Linked DNA regions of Astyanax mexicanus. Each later gene encodes a partner of the first gene's protein in a complex. Links are inferred from orthologs where the notes say so. Each region holds a gene or a part of one and is shown on either strand. Other genes may lie near its edges.

Region 1 (7,783 bases):
TGTCACGATCTCGATATTTTATCGAAATCGAATCGAAATGAGGTCATGGTCTCGAGTATCGAAGTCAAAAAGAGGATCGACGATCCCTCCCGCAAATAGCGCAGCGCGCTATGCAAATGGCCCGGCACCAACACAGCGCATCCTATTCATTTAATAGCGCAGCCCCGCCCTCAGTTCTGCTGTGTGAGAGACAGCTGCCTTTCAACCACTGAGGAGAAACTGAAAACGGATTTATAGAAATATAGACAGGGCTCTCAAGTTTTGAGTGTCGGCGGGAGTGTGATCACTGTTTTTTATCTGTCCAACGGGGGAGGGGGGGCGGGGGTTGGGCGCGCAGGTTTTGTATCTGTATCTGACGGAGGGGTGGGTGCGCGCAGGTGAGAGCGTGTGAACTCGCTGAAATGCGTGTGTTAGTGTGACTTGAGAACACTGACTATAGATCACAGTGAGGTGGATTAAAAATCTTAAACTTATAATTGACTACACCTGTTGCTTTCCACTGAATTAAAAAAACATTTTTCTCTCAGATAAAGTAAACACAAGCGTGTTTCTGACTAAAATAAAAGCTTTTCAGGAGAGATATAAGTTATGTGTAAATATTTATAAGACAATACCTGACAAAATCTGTTTTAATGACGTTAATAAACATCACTGTGACAGCGCTAGTCACAGTTTCACCACATCACTTATCTAACCAGCCTGTACTGATTTCTGCCCCCCAATAATGCTTTCAATAACCTCTAATAGCCTTTAATAGTCTTCAGTAGCCTTTAAAAGACTTACCTGGCGGCCGTGGTGTGTCCACTAAACTCCGTAGTTATAAACATCCTGAGGTTAGCAGCGCGCTAACTGACCTGTTTATAATGTAATCCGAGCAGTGCCTCCGTGTCGGCTGTTCTAACCTGCTGCTGTTAGCTGCTTGGGCTGAAAGATGAACTGTAGTGAGCTGTATTATCCGGTTAGTGGGGTTAAAACCTTTATTTGTTTACAGAAACAGTAAAAACGGACTGGCTGAGCTCTGTAGCCCGTGGCTGGGCTGTACTGAAGTAGTGAGCTGCGACTGCAGCTCCGACTAGTGGTTGGATGAAGAACTGCAGCTTCATGTAAGTGAGCAGTTTCACCATCCATCCACACACAGCTCTGATAAACTGCTTGTTTTAATAGTGCACACTGTTGCTACCAAAATAAGTCACTAGATGGCATTACCATATATATCTTAATAAATAATAATAATATTTATAATATTTATAATAATAATAATAATAATAATAATAAATATATTAAAATTTTATGAGGCATAAAATAATAACAAGAAAAAAAAACAAGAAAATCGAGAATCGAATCGAATCGTGACCCTCAAATCGAAAATGAAATCGAATCGAGGATTTAGAGAATCGTGACACCCCTAATTGCCATGAGAACACTGGCCAGTGTTCAACTAAAAAGAATTCATACTGTTTCTAAAAACTTGATTTATTGATTTGAATTAGCACTTAGACGGTATTAGTTTCTCAGGGGGACGTCTGTGAAAAATATTTAATACTTCTACTCAGTGATAAAACTCTTGTAGTTGTAAAAACAGGACGACCAGTGAGTTTTTAGGCTTTCTCGATCACATAACATCATGTTCAGTAGCTCCTCCATTTCCACTCTCCATGTTTTACATGCATCTCCGTGGAAACGAGCTCCCAAAATGTAACTACAGTGCGCGGCAGCGGACAAATAGCCATTTTATTAAACGCAAAGTGACAAAACTCAGATTTGCGTCCGGACGGGGCTAAAATTACCGGAGGGCCACGGAGTTCAGCGAAAAACAGTAGATACTTCAGCCTGTAATGTTCGCAGAGGACAGAGTCTGAGAAAACACATAGCTACATGGTCGTTCTGGACAGGAATAAAAATCACAGAGGACCCCCCCATAAACCAGAAAATGACCCCAGAACCCTCTGAGAAACTAATCCTGTCCAAATAGGGCTTTTATAAGACTCTCTACACATTTATACCATCCTGTAAGTTCCTCAAAGCATCCAAACACCACAAAGATCACATGATAATTACCAAAATATCAGTTGTTTATTTTTTCTACTACTTATTTCTGCTAAATGTATGAAACTGAAACCAAAACATAACTTTAATATGATTCGGAAATCAATTTTAAAATTGTCAATGATTTTTTATATCGCCAAAATTATCATTATCACAAAAAATTCCCTTAAATATTGTGATTATTATTTTAGAGCACTATCACTCACCCCCTACTAGTTATCAAACGCTAGTGAAATTCTTTCTGGAAGCTTCTATACGCAGTTAAAGATCAAATAAAAAGGTACATTCTCCAATTTAACTTCTGTGAAAACAGCAATAAACCTGTAGATTAATTCTATTAACTGCGATTAATCGCATTTGTTTTTCCACAGACGTAAATTATCATAGTGGATATTGAAATGTACATAAAAGAATGAACGTAAGAAATGTAAAATGCAATTGTATTTATATAAGTGGTGTCAATTAAAATTAATCAAATTCTATAAACCTCTCAACCCTATTCAGGACCCAGATATTCTTATTTATGCTTCGGTCAATTCATGAGTAACGTTACAAGTGAATTCTAAGCCAATTTTCGATTCTAAAAGACACATATTAATGCATTTTCTTAAAACAGTCTGTGGAGGGTAGAAAGATATTTATTGAACGAGAATAAAGGCTAACTAACGTTATTTAATTTAACTAACCCTAGCTAGGTAAGGTTAATGTTTTGGTTATCGTAAGTTAGATTAGCAACACCGGCAACCTAACCTAAGTAGGTTAGCTAGCTAATGAGCTACTTTCCGAACAAATGCGCTGTATTTTTTCGTATAAACTAAAGTACCTAATACTAAAGGTCTTAAACATTATTTTGTGTCCGCTCTCTTCATTATAAACGCATTAATTACCTGTAGAAACCGCGCTGAGTCTCAGCAGCTCCACGACCCGCATCAGCGCCATCTTTCATTTGAATCAACCCGCCAACCCGCCAACTGCTGCCGCCACAGCCGCTTTATAGCGAGCCTGCCCACTTTATTGCAGTAAAGGACTGCAAACCGCTAGGGGGAGCCCGCGAGTGAGTCAGAAATGAATGAGCGTGAATGGAGCTAAACGGCTAAAAACACAAATTAAAAATATTAACTAACTACTCCTCAGGGATATTTCTTAACAGTTTTATAGTAAATTAAAATACCTTACAAAAGCAGTAAAGAAAGCCTACTTTAATACTTTTATTTTGCTAAAGTAAACAGGTTTTAAGCCGTAAAGACGCTAGCGTTACTGCTATCGCTGTGAGCTGATTGGTTGGTGAGGTGAGGCGCGCTAGAGAGACGGTTTAAAAAGTGTATAACTGGAGTTTAAAATATTTTAAAATTATTTATACAGTGCTAAAACAATACATTTTGTGTTTTTTATATAAAATGAGGGCATTGTTTATTATAAAAATGATAAAACATTAATAAATTCTGATTTTTCTCATTTGCTCCATTAAAACCCATTCATTTTTGTCTCACTAGGGAGCGCCCCCTAGTGGCAAACACACTCTGAACACATGCTAAAGTGGGCAATCTCCTCTGTATACCTTCTCTGCTTCTCCTGCTGGGTGAGAGGGGCATGAATGATCTTCAATGTGCCCCTAAATCTTACCTCTTCTTTTACACTCAAAGATATTATCCGATATTAAAGAGGCACTAAACTCTAAAACATATTTTTTTCATTAATAGCTGAAATGTGTTCCTCTCAAGTAATTAAAACATACCACGTTATATGTTTAAAAGACTTAAAAAAAACGCTTGGGTGATATAGGCCTAAAATAATATCACAATATTTTAGGGTATTTTTGTAGTAACAATATATTTTTGGCAATATGACAATTTTTTTATTTAATCTCAGGAATATTATACTACAACAACTGAAGATACTACAAAAAGATTCATTTAAATGTAAATTAATATGTATAATTATAATAATTGTGTTAAGTTTGCCGTTTAGATCCATTCCCTCCCATTCATTTTGGTCTCCCTCGCTGGCTCCTTCTAGCGGCGCGCACTCACTATTCTCTGATGTAACGGCGGAGATGGGCGGTGTCCCAATAAACCCAAACCCAAGCGCTGTTGAGCTAGGGCACTTCTCTCTGTGTACTAGTGCACTAGCTGAAGGCTAGCCAGAGACAGAGAGACCACAGCGCACTAGATAGGGAGCGTAGTATAAGGAAGGGAGCTTCCTCCTCCAATCGGAACACAGCCGCAGCCCTAGCCGCGGAACAGCTGGGTTTCCCGGCGTGCCCCGCGGCCCCGCGAACATCAAAACAAACCGCGGCGGGTTTGAAAGTTTGGTTAGGAAGAAGCGAGGCGCTGAGAAAAGCGGAGAAACTGTAAAAACCGGGTTTTAGAGGATAAAGAATCGCGAGGACTGATTGGAACATGTGAAAAAGACTTTGGTTCGGTGAAAAGAGGCGTTTATAAGACTGTAAATCCTCAGGTTAACAGGTGAGTGTTCAATCTTTAGCTAAGCTAGCCTAGCTCAAGCTATCAAAAGTCCTGTTGCTTTAACGCCAGTTCTATAAACTAGTTCTCGCGAGATAATTAAGCCAACGCACAGTTACCTTGTAACTAATTAACGTTATCTCTCTTGACTCACAAGTATCAGGTCCAAAACAACTCTGCTAAACTCGCCAACTATTTAACTCAACTGTAACATTAATATTAGAGTTAACAAGAAAAGTGCATTTCCTGAAGAAAACACAGGATGGTTGCTATGTTGTTTCTAAGTGGTTGCTAGGCGCTTGCTATGGTGTCTGTGGTGTTTGCTAAGGTGTTGCTGCTAAGCAGTTGCTAGGTGGTTGCAAAGGTGTTGCTAAGCGGTTGCTTGGTAGTTGCTAAGATGTTGCCATGGTATCTGTGGTGGTTGCTACAGTTTTACTATTGTGTCTGTGGTGGTTACTAAGTAGTTGCTATGGTGTCTGTGGTGGTTGCTAAGTGGTTGCTATGTTGTTTCTAAGGTGTTGCTGTGGTGTTTGCTAAGCGGTTGCTAGGTTGTTGCTACGTGGTTGCTATGATGTCTGTGGTGGTTGCTAAGCTGTTTCAAGCAGTTGCTACGTGGTTGCTAAGGTGTTACTACTGTATCCATGGTGGTTGCTAAGTTGTTGCTAAGTGGTTGCTATGGTGTCTGGTGGTTGCTAAGGTGTTGCTGAGCAGGTTGTTGCTAAGGTGTTGCCATGGTATATGTATTGGTTGCTATGTAGTTGGTTGCTAAGGTGCTGCTAGGTGGTTGCTAAAGTGGTGCTATGGTATCGATGTTTGTTGCTATTTAGTTTCTTAGTGGTTGCTAAGTAATGTATTTACATAAATCGGATTATGTTTCCATGTGCATCCATGGTGGTTGCTAGGGTGTTGCTATGTTATCCGTGGTGGTTGCTATATTGTTTCTAAAGTGGTGCTAAGTGGTTGCTAAGGTTTTGCTATCTTGTTGGCGCTTGCTATGGTGTCTGGTGGTTGCTAACGTCTTGCTAAGCAGTTGCTAGGTGGTTGCTTAGGTGTTGGTGTGGTGTGCATGGTGGTTGCTATGGTGTCTGTGGTGGTTGCTAAAGTGTTGCTATGCGGTTGCTAGGTTGTTGCTAAGTTCTTGCTATGGTATCCATGTTGGTTGCTATGTAGTTTCTAAGCAGTTGCTTGGTGATTGTTAAGTTGTTGCTATGGTATTTATGTCGGTTTCTATGTAGTTTCTAAGGTGCTGCTAGGTGGTTGCTAAAGTGTTGCTATGGTATCCATGGTAGTTGCTTTGTTGTTTCTAAGGTGATGCTATGGTGTTGCTAAGAGGTTGGTAGGTGGTTGCTAAGTAATGTATTTACATAAATCGGATTACATGTTTCCATGTGCATCCATGGTGGTTGCTAGGGTGTTACTAGGTGGTTGCTATGATATCCGTGGTGGTTGCTAACGTGTTGCTAAGCAGTTGCTATATATATATATATATATATATATATATATATATATATATATATATATATATATATATATATAATATATATACATATATATATATATATATATATGTATATATATATATATATATATATATACATATATATATATATGTATATATATATATATATCATACTATATATTATAATATATATGTAATGTTTTTTTTTTTATTGTTTTGCAGGTGAATCTCCGGCTACAGTGTCAGGATGACGAAGGGAAAGTGGCTGGATAGAGTGAAGTCTGTAGAGCAGAGAGCTCAGTCCTTTCAATCTGCTCCTATTTGCTCTCCATATAAACCTCGCCTGTCTCGCCCGTGGCAGCCCTCTTCCGTCTGGAGGCTTTTCCCACGCCAGAGCGCCGCCATCGCCTTCAGCCAGCGCTGCAAACAGGTCATACAGCTGATTTCACTTCATAACTTCTAACCAATCAACTACTTGCAGAAATATTTAATAAAAATATACTGAATATTTAAGGCAGGGATTCTTAACAACCTTGGGGGTTGTGAATAGGGCTGGGTAATGTTTTTAAATTTTCAATACCGATGCGATACTTTGAATTCGATACTAAACCTCAGACAATACTTTTTCAGGACCTTTTTCTGATTTTTAAAAGAGAAAGAAAATACAAAAAACAACAATTATTTTTCATGCTACAGTAATAACATGTTGATACAGGGCTAAAGTTACTGCTCTTGATGTTTTTTTGCACCTCGTATACAGAGTTTTAGGGATAGGTTATGACTGAATGAGGATTTCGCATTCAGGACTGATTCTAGGCTCTTTGGGGAATGAGAGGAAAGTTTTTCCAAGCTGTGGAACAATTGTGTAATTCCATTCCTCTCTTTTTCTTAATAATTGGGAAAACTTTGGTCATTTGCTGTTGTTGTTCTATTTTACAGTAAGAAACAGCAGCAGGAGCTCCTTAGATAAAGCTGTTCTCATGTTTCTTCAAGTGGGACAAGCGTTTGACCTGACAAAGCTTATACTCTAAATCATTTTTCTCTAAGCATGTTGCTGTCTATTACTATATATTTTAAGACTTCCTTTTTGGAAATATATGTATAAAATTATGTTTCTTTCCTGATTGATTGTATTACCTGCTGTAAAACAAAAAATCTGCTTACAAATCTGCCAACCTAAATTAATATTATGAGGTCAAATCGAACCTCCTGCCAGAGATGATTTCAACGATAACAATAATAAGCAATATTTTGCATTATTTTAAAAAAAAAATTGTTGGTTAGTCACCATATTAACGAAAACTATATATTTAAGGCATTTTTTTGCTTGAAACACAAAAAAAACATTAAAATCACCATTGAAAATTTAAAACGGCACATATTTATTAAGCATTTATTAATTGTAAATATTATTAAATAAAAATAAATGTACATCCTATAAAGGGTTGAAAAGGGTTAAGAACCCCTGATTTAGGGCAACGCAACTTACTTGTAAGCATGCTGACTGTTTGTGTTTCCCTCTTTTAGGATGTGCATGTATTTGCTCTGGAGAAAGAAGGCACAGGTGCTGGACAGAGGGTTTATTTAGTGACCAGCTACAGTGAACTCTGGCACTACTACAGGTATGCTTCACTATTTATAAGAGAAGGGAAGCCGTAATTAAGTTATTTATGTTTTAGTATTTTGTTTTATATAATTATAAATCATATTATAAGTTATTGTGGAATATGTCTCTTGGTCAGTTCACCATGATTTGGTCTCAACCGCGTGTTCAGTGTTTATAAACACATCATGGTTTTAAGAGTGTAAATAAGAT
Region 2 (7,137 bases), on another chromosome or scaffold:
ACATGGCATTGGTACTCCTTTGCAGACACATTTCATATGGGCAAAAGTATTGGGACACCTTTACATTACACCTACAGGGACTTTAACGACATCCCATTCTTTATATACTCTACACCTACACCAAAGGGACTGAAAAAAATATTGAGTCTCAATACTTTTATCCATATAGTGTATATTTTGCAAGTAAAGACTACCTAGCTGAACTAATTTTCAGGTAACAAATTTTTCTTTAGTGGCCTCATGTCCCTTATTTAAATAAAAGCACTAAAAAAATAATTCAATACAAATGTATATCTCAAGACAAAATGCTCCACAAACTGTTATATGACTTTTTATACACATTTTTAGCTTAAGTATTGGTGGTTCATCAGATGCGAGTACATACGTGTAGCTTAATGAAGTTGAGAAAGTCCTGAACTTTGTCCGGATGAACAGAATCCAGGAACTCCTTTCTCTTCGACATCTTCTCAGATTAAACCTGAACGATTCCTGAAAAAAAACAAGATCAAAGAGAACAAGGTTAGATCTGCTCCTTTACAATTTCTTTACCAAACCTCATCATGTGACTTCCCAGGATGCACCAGTTCAGTGTGCAACATGGATCCAGCTCAGAGAATAACTCAAACACTAAGAAAACTCAGCAACATAAACGGCTGTTACCAAAGATAAATGTTGCATCTGCCATTAATCAATTCATAACGCAGCACATTTATGATAATATAATAAATAATCTGACTGTGTCAATAAAAATACGTGTGTTCAAAGTAGAGGTGCTCCATATCGTATTGTACTCAATGAGTGATGTTCTTGAAAACTAGTCAAGCTTTCTACTATGTATGTGTTTTGTTATTTAAGGATCTTGGTCAGTTGCTATTAATGAAATGAACAAATGTTTATAGATTGTTTCTACTGAATGTATGAGACAGTAACATTTATACTAAAGTTATTTAATTTTGTTGCAGTAGTAAATTCTTAAAATTATTTATTTTTTTCATATTGCCAAGAATATTATCGCAAATATACACTGAAATATTGTGATTGTTTTTTGCCATTTCGCCCACATCTAGTTTAGAGCATAATGTTTCATAATAATAATAATAAGAAGAAGAATCCTATCACCCACAGGTATCCAAAAAATATATTACATTACATTTCGCAGACGCCAAAAGCAACTTACAATAGTGAAGGACAAAAGTAATAAAAGTTTAAGGTAAAACATCTTTAAATAGGGCCTAAAGAAGGTTAAAGGGAAATAACGGGATAGAGGAGTGGAGAAGGGGAAGCAGGAGAGATCGAGAGAGTGTCATATTCTGATTATTACAGAACATAGAAATAACTCTCTCTTCTGTACTTAAGTACTAAAATGATGTATCTGTATCTACTGGATCTTTCAGAATCACTGAAGCTTTTTTCCCCATTGATTTTGATAAAATGATGGAATGATGGATGGATGGATGGAAATCATAATTCACATAATTCAGCCTCTTTCAAAATAGCACACTTACTTAACAGACTTAGTTACTGACTGATTCACTGACTCACTTACTGACTCAGTTACAGATTTACTTAGCTAGTTCAATTCTTAATTATAGATTTACTTAGATAATTAAAGACATCCTCACTCTCACTGATTCAGGTACATACTTAGCTAGTTACAGACTTACATACTCACTGATTATCAGAGGTGGAAAGTAATGAATTACATTTACTCACATTACTGTAATTGAGTAATTTGTAATTTTTTAAAGTAGTTTTTAAAATAGGTAAATTTACTTTTACTCAAGTACATTTTGACACAATTTACTTCACTATATTGGAAAACTCCTCGTTACTGAGTAGAAAATAAAATGCTGGGAAAAAAACAATTGTCTGAATTAAAATTTAAAAAACGAGGCAATAACGTCCTCAGGCAATGCAAAATGTGCCCCGTCCGACAGAGCTATCAGCTTTCAAAACTTCCACATCAAACCTGTGAAAGCATGTGGTTTTTATCATTAAACAATCTGCTTGAATGTTAAAAAAAAACATGTAAATAGCAGTTAAAGCACAGGAATGGCAAGTTAAAAAATAAGAATGAACTGTAAAACTATAAAAATACGATTTATATTCACCTATATGACCATAATTTCTAACAGTAAAGAAAATAAATGGATGATAGAAACCTATACCACTTGTTCTTGAAAATGTTTTATGGGGTGGTCTGAACAAATAATTACTGCCTGAAAGGTCCAAATTATTTTGAGGAATAATAGTTCATTTAAAACAATTTGATTTATGATTTGTTGTACTTTTTTACATCAAATAATTAAAAGTAGCTATGTAACTTTTACTCAAAGTACATTTTAAATTGAGTAAGTTACTTTTTACTTTTACTCCAGTAGATTTTTACTTTTACTTGAGTAGAATTTTAGATGGGTACTTTTACTTTTACTTGAGTAGAATTTTAGCAAAGTAAAGGTACTTTTACTTAATTATAATTTTTCAGTTACTTTTTCCACCACCGATAATTATATATTTAGCTACAGACTGACTTACTGACAGAGTTACAGATTTAACTAGTAACAGACTTACTTAACTTAACTTACTGACTGACTTAACGTTACAGACTCACTGACTTACTTAGCTAGTTATAGACTTACTTTTCCTACTCACTGACTTACAGACTCACTGACTGACTTACTTAGCTAGTTACACTCACTTACTTACTGCCTCACAGACGCACAAATGTACTGACTCACACAGTTACTGACAGGCTGTTTAAGCGGGGTCATATTGAACACTTTCCTGTGAACAGTAACAGTAACGTTACAGTAGTTAAACTAGCCTGACCGTTCAGGGTTCAGCGCAGCCCGATAATAACAGAGAGGAAAAACCCGAGATAAACCGGATTAAACAGCGCTGTACGGTGTAAACTGTGTGCTCAGCGCTGCCGGTGAGGGATTATTATCTGAATTTAATTATAATTCGGGTTATTAAAGTTATTTAGAGCATTTTTAGAGCAGTTTCTGTTAGTAAACACTGTAAACACTCACTCAGCCGCTCTCCTCCCGCGCGCTTCCCGCCCAAACGCCTTCAAAATGCGTCATGACGTCAAAGCGACGTGAGTTTACAATAACAGCGGAGAGCGCCGCCCTGCTGGCCGGAGAGGAGACCGTTAAATTATAATGACACAATATAATATAATATAATATAATATAATATAATATAATATAATATAATATAATATAATATAATATAATATAATATAATATAATATAATTCAGCATGAATAACTGTGAATTAAGAGAAGTAATGTTTAACTGTCTAAAATAAGTATTAGTCTTTTTTAAATATGTAATTGTCGTTAATTTAATACTTAATTAAAAAAAACATAATTTGCCATACATTTATTATATATAAAGTAGCTATATATTTTGCTCAGTGCACAGTTAGATATTTACTATTTATATTTAACATATTTTTTAAGCATACCTGTGTTATGTGAGTTTTATTTTGTCATATCACTCTATGATAAATCACGCATATCACGCCCTATGATAAACCGTGGTATATCCCATATCCACTGTTATTTCATACTTTTCATTTCACACCAAATTTTCTTTTTTAACATGATCCCTACTCTTTTATTCTTCTTTACCCCTTCTTTAAAGGTTGCAGATTAATTCCTGGAGTTGGGTGTTAAGAAATTCCCACAGGACAAATCTGAACTTTGGGTTTACAGTGTATATTAATAGTATATTAATGTAGGATAAAAATACTATATAAAAATTGGATTGTATGATATATTTGCAGCTGAGTACGTTACAACTGCACGTAGAATAGCTGCAATTATAAGCGATGTCCACAAGAGGTCGCCAAAACCCCGCTGATTTTAACATAAACAGAAATTGATCGTGGCGCTCCTGAGTGAGCCCATAATGAATGGGTTCCTTATGAGCAAAAAATAGAGTTTATGTATGTTTAATCATTTCTATTATGAAAAAATATAATTTTCTCAATGATATGTAATGATATGCAAAATGTTTCAGCATAGCAGACATCATTTAAAGCTTTTAAACTCCAGTTATAAACATTTTTAACGAGCCCTGGCTGTAACCCCAGCATCAGTAGCAGTCATGCTAGCGTCTTTACTACCTAAAACTCATTTACTGAAGGAAAACTCAATTATATAGGTATATTTTCTTTGCTGTTTTAGCAAAATACTTAACTGTACTTTCCAAAATGAAATGTATATCCTATCAAAGGGGTTATTTACTATAATTCATTTGTATATTTAGCCGTTTAGCTCCATTCACTTCCATTCATTTAGGACTCCCTCGCGGGCTCCGTCTAGCGGCTGTATCAAATAGTAAATTAAACAGATAAAAAGAAAGCATTAAAAGGAATATTAATATTCTGTAAAGTATTAATTAAAAATACTGAAGGAAGACGACCTGATACAGCAAGAAACCAGTACATTCTTAAAATAAAATAATTAAAATATTCTAAATTATATTAATGATGAAATAAAAAAAATAATGTTATTCCTATTATTATAAAAACATTGTTGATTATTGCTAAAAAGGTAAATAGTAATTATTATAATTAATAATAAATAATAGCACAGCGGATGTGGAAAAGAAATAGCAAATGCAGAGCAGCAGCCATTCCAAAATATATATATAAATATATATTTATTTAATTAATAAATACCTCCCGAGTAAACTCAAAGTAAAACAGAGTTTATAAATATATTTCATAATTTTTATACAGAAAAATAAAATCTAATTTTCTCAACGCAGAATTATATAAATGTTTTAGTATGACAGACATACTTTTTAAAGCTTTTAAACTCTGGTTATACACCTTTTAAACGAGCTCTGACTGTAACACCAGCATCAGTAGCAGTAATGCTAGCAGCTACTGCTTAAAAAAATCTTTTAAATATTTAATTTTCTCTTAATAATAAAATAAAAATGTTATGTTATTTCTAGTATTTTAAAAAACACTGTTGATTATTGATAAACAGGTAAATAGTAAGTATTATAATTAATAAAAGCACAGTGAATGTGAAAAAGAAAGAAGAAATTCAGAAAATGAAACATTTTTAATCAATAAAAATCTTTTTTAAAATCTTACATGACTTACATACAGGTTTCGCAGGCTTTAAATTAACAGTGCTTTACTGTACAGTCTGTACAGCGTTCTGTCTGATTTCTGTACAGAGATTTTTAATATAATAATAATAATAATATACAGTAATGTACAGCAGATACAAATACAAGCATTTCAAAATAAAAGTCACGGCCACAGCAGACTCACAGAAATACTCAATAATGTACAGAGTTCACAGCCTGGACTCTCTTTGGCAAAGAGTTTACTCACACTGGCCACTTTATCGGAAACACCCCTCTTGTAGCTCCACCCTGCTGAGGTTCTCATTTACATATCTCATATAAATATACAAGGTAGGTGTTTTTAATAAAGTGGCCAGTGTGTGGATGTACAAAAGTAGGTGTTTCCAATAAAGTGGCCACTGAGTGGATGTACAAAATTGAGGTTTCCAATAAAGTGGCCACTGAGTGGATGCACAAGGTAGGTGTTTCCAATACAGTGGCCAGTGTGTGGATGTTTAAGGTAGGTGTTTCTAATAAAGTGGTCAGTGTGTGGGTGTACAAAATTGGTATTTCCAATAAAGTGGCCAATGAGTGAGTAGATATACAAGGTAGGTGTTTCCAATAAAGTGGCCACTGAGCGGAAGAACAAATTTGAGGTTTCCAATAAACTGGCCAGTGAGTGGATGTACAAGGGTAAGTGTCTCTAATAAAGTGGCCAGCGAGTGGAACTACATGTCACGTGTTTCCAATAAAGTGGCCAGTGTGTTTATGTACAAAATTGGGGTTTCCATTAAAGTGGCCAGTGAGTGGAAGCACAAAACTGAGGTTTCCAATAAACTGGCCAGTGAGTGGATGTTTAAGGTAGGTGTTTCTAATAAAGTGGCCTGTGGGTGGATGTTTAAGGTAGATGTTTCCAATTAATTGGCCAGTGTGTGCATGTACAAAATTGGTGTTTCCAAGTGGCCACTGAGTGGATGCACAAGGTAGGTGTTTCTAATAAATCGGCCTGGGAGTGGATGTACAAGGTAGGTGTTTCCAATAAAGTGGCCACTGAGTGGATGCACAAGGTAGGTGTTTCTAATAAATCGGCCTGGGAGTGGATGTACAAGGTAGGTGTTTCCAATAAAGTGGCCACTGAGTGGATGTACAAGGGTAAGTGTTTCTAATAAAGTGGCCAGTATGTGGATGTTTAAGGTAGGTGTTTCCAATAAAGTGGCCACTGAGTGGATGCACAAGGTAGGTGTTTCTAATAAATCGGCCTGGGAGTGGATGTACAAAGTAGGTGTTTCCAATAAAGTGGCCACTGAGTGGATGTACAAGGGTAAGTGTTTCTAAAAAGTGGCCAGTGAGTGGAACTACATGTCACGTGTTTCCAATAAAGTGGCCAGTATGTGGATGTTTAAGGTAGGTGTTTGCAATAAAGTGGCCACTGAGTGGATGCACAAGGTAGGTGTTTCTAATAAATTGGCCTGGGAGTGGATGTACATGGTAGGTGTTTCCAATAAAGTGGCCAGTGAGCGAATGTTTTTTGGGATAGAAGTTTCCAATAAAATGCCCAGTGTGTGGATGCACAAGGTAGGTGTTTCCAATAAAGTGTCCAGTCACTCTACAGCTTTCTCATAAAAAATGCTACATCGTTTTTTTTACAGCAGTTAATCAAATAAATAATAAATGATTAAAGCTGTAAATCTGCTTGTGATGAACACAGAGCAGTACAAACCCCTGCAATTCTCAAAATCTGAGAGGATTCCCCAAAACAGTGCATAAATACCTGTACAGAGCTCACCTTGAAGGCTAAGAAATGAAGGCACAGGGCCGATACAGCAAGAGATGAGCTCGTCGGGATTCTGTGATCCACTGATTCTATCTCTCGCGGTTGTTGTTTGATCGTTTGAGGAGGTTTTTGATGAGTGTAAACACATGTGCATTCTACAGCTCTGGATTATTAAAATTAAGAGATCACTTCAGTTTCTGAATCAGTTTCTCTGATTTTGCTATTTATAGGTTTATGTTTGAGTAAAATGAACATTGTTGTTTTATT

The links. Proteins that work in one complex are often made in the same cells at the same time.
Region 2: the proteins of ncapd3 (region 1) and ncapg2 are in contact, whole or in part, in a cryo-EM structure (PDB 9F5W), measured with the Homo sapiens proteins. The link is inferred for Astyanax mexicanus from reciprocal best matches to the Homo sapiens genes NCAPD3 and NCAPG2. Residues at the interface, in NP_056076.1 of Homo sapiens: Glu1213, Lys1216, Ile1217, Pro1218, Leu1220, Gln1247, Ser1250, Glu1251, Tyr1254, Lys1258; in NP_001268861.1 of Homo sapiens: Phe291, Lys332, Pro333, Ile334, Trp336, Lys340, Ala341, Arg342, Arg347.

What each region holds. Positions count from the first base shown.
Region 1 is NC_064432.1:8,247,233-8,255,015, forward strand, and holds the start of ncapd3 (condensin-2 complex subunit D3), read right to left. Parts: upstream 3,038-7,783; 5' UTR 2,986-3,037; coding exon 2,934-2,985; intron 1-2,933. Other genes in the region: primpol (DNA-directed primase/polymerase protein), read left to right, coding at 6,215-6,397, 7,495-7,589.
Region 2 is NC_064415.1:4,512,463-4,519,599, reverse strand, and holds the start of ncapg2 (condensin-2 complex subunit G2), read right to left. Parts: upstream 3,081-7,137; 5' UTR 3,033-3,080; intron 490-3,032; 5' UTR 464-489; coding exon 386-463; intron 1-385. UniProt on the Homo sapiens protein: Regulatory subunit of the condensin-2 complex, a complex which establishes mitotic chromosome architecture and is involved in physical rigidity of the chromatid axis.